Drosophila melanogaster: one gene and its partners. The protein of the gene in region 2 interacts with the protein of the main gene of each other region in a pairwise test. Each region holds a gene or a part of one and is shown on either strand. Other genes may lie near its edges. The genes, in order: tj, scramb1 and Vsx2.

What was found.
Region 1: the proteins of scramb1 (region 2) and tj interact in a two-hybrid assay, tested with the Drosophila melanogaster proteins (one large-scale study listed by BioGRID).
Region 3: the proteins of scramb1 (region 2) and Vsx2 interact in a two-hybrid assay, tested with the Drosophila melanogaster proteins (one large-scale study listed by BioGRID).

The regions. Positions count from the first base shown.
Region 1 is NT_033779.5:19,462,475-19,466,230, reverse strand, and holds the start of tj (traffic jam), read right to left. Parts: upstream 1,965-3,756; 5' UTR 1,476-1,964; coding exon 1-1,475.
Region 2 is NT_037436.4:10,223,594-10,227,349, forward strand, and holds the start of scramb1 (scramblase 1), read right to left. Parts: upstream 1,648-3,756; 5' UTR 1,438-1,647; coding exon 1,267-1,437; intron 645-1,266; coding exon 275-644; intron 1-274.
Region 3 is NC_004354.4:5,558,023-5,561,778, forward strand, and holds the start of Vsx2 (visual system homeobox 2), read right to left. Parts: upstream 2,162-3,756; 5' UTR 1,941-2,161; coding exon 1,388-1,940; intron 1-1,387.

The DNA of each region.
Region 1 (3,756 bases), on a different chromosome or scaffold from region 2:
ACTCCGCCATTTGCCGCCCGCTGCAGACGCTGCATGAGGGCATCCCGCTCCTGGCAGACCCTCGAGTACTCCAGCTTCAGGCGGTGCAGATCCTGGTTGAGCACCCGGTTGGCCTTCTCCAGTTCGTGGCGCTGATGGAGTCGCTTGGACCGGCAGTTCTGGGCATAGCCGCGATTCTTCAGGGTGCGTCGCTTCTGCTTCAGACGCACTACCTCCTCCCGTGGGCAACCATGGAGCCGCTTGTTCAGCTCCCGCACCGTCAACGTGGTCAGCATGTCGTCATTGAGGCAATCCTCCAGCGTGGCATTACTGTAGGCACCCGAACAGGTTCTGGGCGACATGTTGTTCGAGGATCTGGTCGAGCTGGCGGAGAGCGGGCGGCACGGCTGAAGGGCAGCCCGTGTGATGACGCAGGAGCCGCCACCCACGCTGCCGGGTCCACCACTCCCGCTTCCACTGCCTCCTCCGCCTCCGCTGCTGCCACTCCCGTTGCTGGGCACTTGGGGCAGACAGGTGGGCGTCAGGGCACCCGAAGCACTACCGTACGAGTTCGAGTGCATGTTGATGGGCGTCAGTTCCAGATTGTGGAAGTGGTGGTGATGGTGGTGCGGATACTTGCTCTGCTGCAGCATCACCTGGTGGGGATGACCGCCGTGTCCATGCGGATGATGCTGCGCCTGCATCAGCGGCTGTCCGTGATGGTGGTGATGAGCTGCCGCCGCCTGCAGGGCGTAGTCCCGCTGTCTGTCCCACTCCTCCGCCTCCTCCTGGGAGCCCGGATAGGGCAAAGGCCGCAGATCCAGCGGCTGCTGGTCCGCCCGTATCGAGTTGGTCAGCCACATCATGTCATGGCTCAGTCCGGCACTCACCGATGCTGCTCCGGCGGAGGCAGCAGCTGCGGCGGCGGCGGAGGCGGATACGGATACGGAGCTGCCCGGTGTCCTCGCATAGTGGTGTGCGTAAGTCTGAGCCGGACAGCTGCTGCTGCCCGTGGGCGAGCCCACTACTGGTGGCGTTTCCGGCGGCGTTGAGGGCACTCCGCCCGGAACGCCCGCTCCCGAAGATGTGTTCACCAGAATCGCCTGTCCGGGCAGCGGACCATACTGCTCTGGTGGCGGAGAGAGCGGTTGCAGGCGCCGTTCGTCCATGTGCCACTGGTGATGGCCGGAGAAGGACCTCAGCTTGATGTGCGGCGATGGCGAGACCTCCACTGCTCCGGCGGGCTCTGGTCCGGACAGCGGCAGCGAGTCCGGGTCATCGTCCGGATTCGTGGGATCGCCGTGGATTGTCGTCCATTTAACCGCCACCGGCTGCGGTGGACTGTGATCCTCGCGCTTCACATGGCCCAAAGTCGTGACCTGGGACGCGGCACCGGCTCCATGCGATTGGCCAGCTCCATTTCCGCCCACCTCCAGGTGGTGCAGATCAAACTCCTGAACGTACGTGTCGTTTATGGTGGGATCTTCCATTTTCATTGGATCGACCAGGGACCGGAGAGGGTCGATTACGGGTCTCACATGCAAGGGAGTGACCGTGCTGATTGGTGGGTGGTGGTTAGTGGGTGGTTTCAAAGGTCAACTACGCGATCGGGGGTCACGGAACCAGGCACTGGCGCTTTCGGCCTGCGGCTAAGTTTTATCTTGATCTCAGGATTTAGGTTACGTTTTTTTTTGGGGTTACCCCAGAATCTGTTAGATATTTACTTCGATGCCGGTTTCTTAGATTTCGTTGTAAAAGATTGGATTGCTTATTTATGATTTAAAATGTAAGTATGCTTTTATTAAAGCGATCACTATCCGCACTTTGGCGCTTAATTCATTTGTAAGCTCGCTCTCTTTCCAATTTTGCTCACTAATTTCGCGAACGCGCTTTTCGCGTCCAATGTGAAAGAGTTAACGGTGGCGACTGAACTCCGTGTCCGTTTCAACTAAGGTCGGACTGAATCTGACTGGAGGGTGGCTCTGCTCTGGAAGCTCTGCTCTGGATGCTCTGTTCCCTTGATGATAACTGTTAGAATGGCAGCGCAGCGCGCGCACACCCACACACACACACCCATTCCTTTTCCCAACAGCCGACAAACAAAACGACTTGCCAAAACCAAAAAGCCGACCAGCCCAACAACAAACAAAACCGAGCTCGAACGCCATTCGCTGATGCTTTTGCTTTTGGTGCGAGGGAACTCCTGTTGGAAACGTGGAAATGACGGTTCTAGAGGAAGGAAAGAGGCGAAAGGGCGGGGAGGCACTTGTCCGCAAGAGAGAGAGAGTGCCTTTCGTTGTAGTTGTAGTTGTTGTTTGTGCTTTTGCCGGCAGCTGCTGCTCTCGCGCACAACAACAACAAAAGTCAAGCCGGGAAAGCTTCGTAGATTCGATGCACTGCACAGTGGGATAAAAAATTGCAAATATAAAATAATTTCATTCGTACATTTTGACAAGTTTAAGTTGTCTAAATCAAATACAATATTTTATAGCTAAAGGACTAACTTTGAACTTTGAAAAAGCGATTATATTTTGATCTGCTTTAAATGTTACAACACTTGAATATCTATACAAAATTCTATTAATTTCACGTTCTTTTTTAAGTATTTTAAAGAAATTTAGACCTTTTCGTGGAAATTCAATCAATTCTTAGCTAAAATCGCTTCCCTTGACTAACAATCATTCTGGTCAAAGAACATTACTTCACCAATAACAAATATGTTGATGTTGTTAACAGTCTAAAAAAGCGACTTAACAAGCCAGAAAATTGACTGCATTGCCTTATAATTGGACATGGAAAAACATATTTTATGCATTATGCTATATACATTATTATATACTATATACATTATTAAATTTTATATATACTGATGAGCTATTTAATGTTTAAATTTCGGAACATGTAGCACGTAAGTAATGTTTCAGTAAGCCCTTGATACCCAATACCTCGACCACTGTGCAAGAGCACAAATCTATGCTCTGGGATTTCACTTTGTTGGTGGTGGAATGGAACCGTTGGTGTGGCTGCTCTGCTGCTCGGTTTATTGTTTGCGTTTTTGAATTGCCATGGAGCGCATAAAAAATGGCACACATAGACACACAGACACACTTTATGCTGTCGTCGACTCCGCCCACTTTGCCACTGTGTGCGCGTGTGTGTGTCGGTGTGGCTCTCCCCATCTGCGAGTGTGTTGGTGTCTGAATATTTATGAGCAACTACCACGGAAATTCCCGCATAGCCCCATTTGCCGACTTCCAGTCTCATTTGGCTGGCCATCCACACGAAGTCGGTGATGGAGGTGGAGATGGATGTGCCCATATGTACATACATACATATGTATATCCACATAGGAAAGTATATGCAGGAGTGGGTCGCACAAGCACAGGCACATCCATATCCACGTCCACATCCACGTCCACTGTTCCATTTTCCAGTGCATAAGTCAATGGGAGATGTTTTAGCCGAGATAAGTCGCTCGATTTGTTTTGGCTCGTATATAATACACTGCCCACTCCATGGGCATGTGTGTGTTTGCTTGGGCCAAAGGATTCCATGGTGCACAGGTGCATTTTTATGCTGATCCAGCGGAAACGGAGTACAGAACTTAGGAGCCTCCGACGGCCCAACTTGGACACGGGGCGCTCTTGTTTTACTTTAATTTGAACCCCTTTTTTCTGACTTTTTGTTTTGAGCAAATGTTTTGTCTTCGCTGGCCAAACAGATTGCTCTGATGTAATATTGTTGTGGGATATCGAAAGGCTTCTGCTTTGTTTGTGC
Region 2 (3,756 bases):
GAAATCTTAAGACAACTGATTGGACATTATCTCAATCGCAGGGCAACGACACACCGACACATCACAAAGATGCGATCTTGTTTTGATTCAGCGGTTTGTGTAGTAAAATTATATAAGAAGTAAGCTCAGATATGGAATGAATAATTTTAACAAGGAAGCAGAAAGCGATAAAAGTCTCGTGCCATGATTTGAACACCCTGATTTGTGTAGAAATATGTGAGTCCAACATGTAGAACATTTGTTTTATGTTACAGACTAGTTTTTGATTACTTGCCTGCTGGTCCGCCCTGTGGGGCCATCCCTGGACCCATTCCCGGTCCCATTCCCGGTTGCGTGACAATGGGCTGTTGTGGTTGTCCCGGTGGATAACCGCCGAATGCGTTTGGTGGTCCTCCTGGTCCTGCTGGTCCGGGAGGATATCCGCCGAAGGCCTGGGGCGGTGGTGCTCCTCCTCCGTAGTGTGGCTGTCCACCAGGACCACCTACATAAGGTGGCTGTCCGCCTGGACCACCCGCATAAGGTGGCTGACCACCTGGACCACCCATGTAAGGTGGTTGTCCGGCTCCGTAGGGCGGAGCTTCTCCGTATGGCGGCATTTGGGGAACTGGAGCGTATCCGGCTGGCTGAGGACCTGGCATAAACCCCTGCAACGATCGGGAGTTGATTAAAGAATGAGTTGAATACTTATTTCAGGGGCGTTTCGATTAGTTTTTTGTGCTCTGGCTTGTATTCTTGTAGCTGTACTTATCAGCACTCTGGCACGCAAATGTATGGAGTAAATAAATATTCTATAAGAATGAAAACTTCACGCGGTTGTGCATGAATGATGAGTAATATTTTAAGTTTATCCAAAACTTAATGGAAATAAAACGCTCTTTTGGCATGAGTGAAAAACATAGTGAAAATAGTAAAGCCATAAAAACATTCATACGTAAATGTAAATAAGTAAATGCAAGAGAATTAAGCTTTCGACTTGCTTATCCAGTCTGCATTACTGGTTTTACAGTATGTATGTACATATGGATGTACATTGAGTTCTCAGTTGTTTGTGTTTATCAAACCGCCGATTCCACGGATTCGCGTGCAAATCGAATGAATCTCTTTCATTCCACAGCAAACTGACTGTGTGTCTGTTGATTTATAAATAAGCAAATACCAACTGGCATGACGTCATGGTTGTGTTGTGCTTGTACAAGAAGCACCCTTTACACCACCCACTTTCCCTAGCATTTTCATCGGCTACAGCGGGACACTTTTGGAACTCACGTAATTCGTGGGCGGCGGCGGCTGTGGATGACCGGGTGCGGGGGGATAGGGGGCGTTGTGGCCCCCAGTGGGCGGTGGGTAGCCGAATCCTTCGGCGGGCGGAGCATTTGGCTGGAATCCGGATCCGAAACCGGGTGGGGCGTAACCGCCCTGATTGACGTTACTCTTCATTTCGTGGGATTTCCCCGGATTTTTCCTCTTTTCCTGCTCTTCTTCTGCTCTCCGCGTGCTGCGTTGTTGTTGCACTGGAGGGGAATTGTTGCGGCCACGGCCCCAACGAAATCGCAACAATGTTGTATTTGTTTTGCACGCACTTTCTGTTAAGTACAGTAGTAGTTTCGATAGTAATGCAGTTCGCGAAATCAGGTGGGTTTCGGAGTGTAACCGTGACTGAAGAGCGAAAAAATACCAGCTACACGCTAAATATGCCAAGTTTTTAGCGGACAATTTCTCTGGTTTGAAAGAAGTTAGATAATTCCTAGAATGCATAACTTTAAATACAAAGTTCAGTTATATGAATTAAAATTAACAAATATTAAATATATTTTAAAATTGAATAGATGGCGCCATCAATCTTTTTAACAAAATGTTTACTTGACAATGTAAAAGTCATGTATAAATGAAATGTTTTCATAACAGCATTGCTCTATTATTAGCAGAATACAGCAAGCAAAGACACCATCCAAAATTGAAACGCCCAGTAAAGACTCAAACCTACGAGCTTGTAACTTGGTTTCTTGAAATTTGAATGTGAATCAGTTACATTTAAAAACTAATCTACTACGCTCTGAAATTATTAGTTTATTTAAACGGTATTTATATATTTCCTAAAAAATAAATAAATAATAATATTGTTTTATATACTAAATGCTTAAAGAAAGCGTTTCCCTAACTTTAACATATGCTTATTAAAATAATAAGAATTCGCATAAAGTTACTTATTCAACTAGTTATTATTATTGTTTTCAGCATAATTAAAATTTATGTTTTAGAAGCTATTTAGTAAATAAGGCATTTCCTTTGATTATTAATTTATGTTTTTAAATTGCTTAAATTTACATTTTGTAATATACGTTTTTTCTTGCTTTACTTATACTATAACTATATCAAAAATACAACTGTCCAAATTAAATAGAAACAAAAATCGTATAGTTAAAAAAAAAATGCTGAATAAATCCATTTTGTATGCCACAACTGGCTCAGAGAACAGTCCACATTTTTTCTAATGCGCAAATTTTCATTGAGAGGGTGTGCCTCCCCTACACCTCAAGGGTGCGACAGAGAGGGGCTGCGTGGTAGAAAGGGAGAGAGAGGAATAGAGAGGGCGGCGTAGTTGGCGCGCATAAAAAATGGCGGTTTCCGACGCAAGTAAAACGCAAAAAAAAAAATGATGGAAAAAATGTGGGCAGGGTGAGCGACTGTTGTAAGAGTGAAAGAGACGGGCTGTTGAAATGTGAAAAAAATGCTAAAAACCGTGTATATAGAAAAAAACTGCGAGCAGAATTCCACCCCATGGTCATGGACATCTAGCAGACGTCCCTCACTCACTCACACACACCACGGTAATTACCCATACAAATGCAGCGAGAAATGGAGGAATCGTCATCAGCATTACCGTCATGGTGGAGGACCACCCACACACCGCGCAAAATCACACATTTCGTCCTCGATGCTATAAACTTAGAACCCAATGTCCACTGATATATTTCTATATACTAAATATATTCCTTAAAGGAACACAAAATCCTGCACAATAAAATTTTCACTACGTTTGCGTGATGTTTATTTACAGCTTGACAATTTTAGAACTATTATACGAATGTATAATGGAATATATTATATATTATTAATTGACTTATATAATTTGCCTAAAAGCTATTGTTTCTTTCTGTGCAGGGCGGATTTAGTGGATCTAGAGGGGTCCTGGAGAAGGACTCATCAGGGTCAGGGAAGAAATCCAGAACTGAGCGTTTAATGCGCCATATAACGCAATATTTGTGCTGCTGCTGTGTGGGTGAGTTTAGCACATTCAATTAGTTGACTTTGCAATGGCAGCAAATGCAGAATGCGAAAATAAAACAACCGACTGAGAATTCGCATTCAGAATGGGGACCGGGAACGCGAACATATTTGCGGTTGGCAACCGACCAAAGGCACAAAAGCCGGGCTCAGCAGTGCAGCAGTTGTTGCCAGGCCAGCCCCCTTTTGTGCCACCACCACCTTTTAGCCCCTTTTGGCCCCACCCATGACCTTTGGGCCAGGGCCGTCGCTGAACGGTTCAGTGCAGGAGAGGCTCTCAAAAAATCAGGCAGGCGGCAAGCAGCCAACATAATGCAATGGTAAACAGCCATGCGGGTCCCTACACTGCTACAAAATCCAACATCAATACCAAAGGTTATGCAAAAAAGTTAACTGTGTACATATTAAATATCAAATAGTAATGATCACTTAAATCGACTTACTTTCTTTTGGATATTCAGCAGAAAATTT
Region 3 (3,756 bases), on a different chromosome or scaffold from region 2:
GAAGTGTAGGGGTAAACAGATTTGAAATCAAGAAATCAGATTCAATCTACTCATATATGTATCTACATATCCACATAAGTTGAGTGAGTGCGCAGTGAAATTGGCACAGTGAATCAGTTGCAGAGCAATGGAAATCGGTGATGACGATGATGATATTTCAACGCTAATTAAAATAATAATAACAATAATAACAGCTGCCACTTGAATCTGCAAGATTATCTGCAGAGCCTCGCACTTTTCACAGTGAAAGAAATTTGGCTAAACGCTTCAGGATTTTGTTATTAATGCCATTCCAGATATAGTTCACAAATCCAATGAGAAATATAACAATTTGAAGTGCTTATGTTGTTAATCAACTGCTTACTTCTGGCAGCCAGCAACTAGTTCCTAGTTTTTTACCGTGTATCCAATCCCTGCACGGCTTTTCATGCCTTTCTGTTTATCTGCCTTCACTGTCATCGCTCCAACTTCGTATGATATTGCCACTTGCAAATGAGCTTTGAATCGAGAGAGACAGCAGGTCGACTCGAGTTCACTGTTAGTGTGTGGGATTTTCTTGCAGTGTGCGTGTTTCATTGCCTGTGCTGATCGCCAAACAAAGGCGCACCTACAGTGGCACAAAAGCGACCAAAAACCTACTCGAAAAGCATACCAAGCTTATTATAAATTGATTCGGATTTCCACTGATTCTAGAATTTTATTTAAACAATATGAAAACTAACTATTGTCGTTAGTGTGCCCAAACTATTGCAACAATTGTGAAGCCCAGTTTTTGCTATGCTCAAACCAGAGTGCAACACACACACAAACACTCACACACACACATCCACACACAGTGCAATTAGCAGCTCAACTTGAGTGGTGGTGCTTTGGATTGGAGTGGCTTCGGAGGCGGATTGCCGGATTGCCGGATCGGTGGAGCGGTGGTGCGGATGCGGGCGTTGTGTCGTTTGCAGTGGGGCCAAAGCTGATTTGGCGGACGATGGACCGCTGATTAATTCCTTTTTTATGCTAACTAAGCGGCACTCCAGACACCGATTCGCCCCACTGTGTGTGCGTGTGCGTGTGAATCGAATGTATCTGTATCTGAATCTGAATCTGTAAATGTATCTGAGCATGTGTATATGTGCGCCTGTGTTGGTGTGTCTGGCAGGTGACAAAACCAGTTGCGATTGCTAATTGCGTTTAAGCTTTGATTGTCAGTGTAAATACATCGAACAAAAGATTTTTAAAATCGCTATAGCGAAATATATGTAAGTTAGCTACGGCACTTTTCAACTTTCCCATGTTCAGTATATGCATAAATGAAAAAAATATATATATCTGTGTTTTACTAACTGCAATTAACTGCAATTTGAGTGGTTCGCTGGCGGGGACATTGGCTTACCCTGCGCGTGCAGCAGCGGGTGGTGCGGATGGTGGGGGTGGTGGTGCTGCATCGGCGGCGGCGGCGGTGGCCCGCCAACGGCTCCGTGTGGGTGGTGCGGGTGGTGGTGTGGATGGTGCTGGTGCTGATGCTGATGATGATGGTGCACCGCCGCGGCCAGTTGGTGGGGCATAAAGGCCGCTGCCACCGCCGCATGGGCATTGAAGTAGGCCATTCGCGAGGCGGCCGCCATGGTCATTTGGTGGTGCTCCCTGTACTGATGGTGGTGCGGCTGGTGGTGCTGCTGCTCTTGTTGCTGCTGCTGCGGCTGCTGCTGTGGCTCCGAAACGCTCGTTAAATTGCCTTCGGCCGCATTTGTTGGTGTTGCTGCCGTAGCTGCTGATGTTGCTGCTGTTGCCATTGTGGCATTTGTTGTCTTTGGCGGCGTTGGCGTTTGGCGCTCTTTTGCCACCGTTGCACCGGCAGTTGTCGTCAGATCGGTTGGCGCTTCTGTGGCCGCCGCCACCGCCAAGCCCAGCAGCTCCTGAATGGCAAATGGCGAACGCTGCGGCATTTTCGATTGCTAATATTTCGATTTACGTCTAGATATTGCCGTTGTCAAAACAAATCGCTTGAAAACATCATGCAGTCCCAATTGAGAAACCCAGAAAACAAAAAAAAAAACAAAGCAAAGGCAAGTTTTGCAATGTTGTAAAGACTACGCGAAATGGGATTTGCGAATGGAGGTTTTGAGATTTTGCGCTGGCACGCGTCGCAGAAAAACACACAACAAATTCGCAATAATTTCCACGTTAAACTGTTGCCTGCGTTAATGTGCACCAGGAGTTTTGTCGTCGCAGTTGCTGTTTCTGTTTGCTGTTGCTGTTGCTGTCGTGCTGTTGCTGCCGTTATGTTGCTGCTGGTGGTTGGCTTTCGACTTGGCTTTGCATTTCGCTTTGGATTTGGCCAAGGAGGCATTCAGCTAACAAACGGTAAACGGCCAGCGGAGCTTTGCTCTTCCGAGGACCTCAAATCGCATGGCAAGCGCAGCAGCAACATTTGCAGCAGCAGCAGCAACACCAACAGCAGCAGCAACAGCAGTAACGGCGGCAACGGCGGCAAAAGCAGCGCGCCGACAGCGACGCTCGCGTCGACTGCGCTGCCCGGCAACGGTAAATATTCAGGGGCGGTCTCTGTCGCACGCTAGCCGCACTCTTCGCCGCTCAGCGAGTGCGAGGGAGTCAGCAGCATATGGGCCTTCCCCTCGGCAACATGGCGCATGTGCGACATCCATTCGCCGTTAGAGTGAGGAGAGCAGCAAGCGCCTTCCAAGCACCATCTAGCCGTGCTCTTCTCGCACACGCGTAACCTTCCAGTTTTCCCGCGAACTTCCAGTTCGGACCGAAACGCATTAGTGTTGGTGCGCTGCTTGCCGTTGTATTGGTGCCCGATTGCCACAGTGTGCGGCGCCCATTTTGTGTGAGTGAAAGAGAGCCAGAGAGCGCAAGAGTGGGAGAGGGCATGGTCAACAGGGCTGGGGTGGCGCAAAAAAAGGCGCAAGAAAACAACTATTTCGCAGACCCGAACTCGAACTCGGAACTCCAACCGCTCTCCGTTCAATGAAGGACGCCAATTTATGGCCCAAAAAACGAGCCACCATTCGGTTTCCAGCTGGTAGAAACTACTCACTTGTCGGCCGCCTAACAATGCCTTTCCCTTCCCCAAAAAAAAGGCAGTCTAATTAAAATTTTCGCCAAAAACTTGTACTATTGAAATGCGTAAATTAGCATTTACACCACGTCCTGTGTGCATGAGTGTGTGCGTGTGTGCCAGTGGGAGAGTCCTTGCTGCGCAGTTTTGCAGGATTTCAAGAGATTTTGGGGTCGTGCTATGTGGGTTATTGTTCTCGGAGAAATGTCCCGAAATTCGGCAAAATAATTCGGCTTGATTTCGGCAGCAGTCGAAAAGTAGAGCTTGTAATGGACTTGCAAATTACTGCTAGGCAATTGAGGGACTTACAATTAACTCGGTCCCGAAAGGGATCTCCTACAAAAGGCCATACACAGATAGAAAAAACGTGTTGATATTTAATTCTCAAAAAAATATATAAATATATTTTGTTACGCATCGATTATATTCTATATACACGCATTGATTTCTATTTAAAGAAAATAAAGACACCAGCAATTGGAAAGCCACGATCAGTGGCAGGCAAACGGGTCTTTTGGGGCTTTTCTCACGCCCCCACACAGTGAGCTCTGCCTATGGAGAAACCCACGCGGCAATTAGACAATTGAAATGCCAACGCTCACACGGCCATCGCAGCGAAATCGGAGCGGATCGAAACGAAACGGAATCACAGATCATATATATGTATATACATATATGTA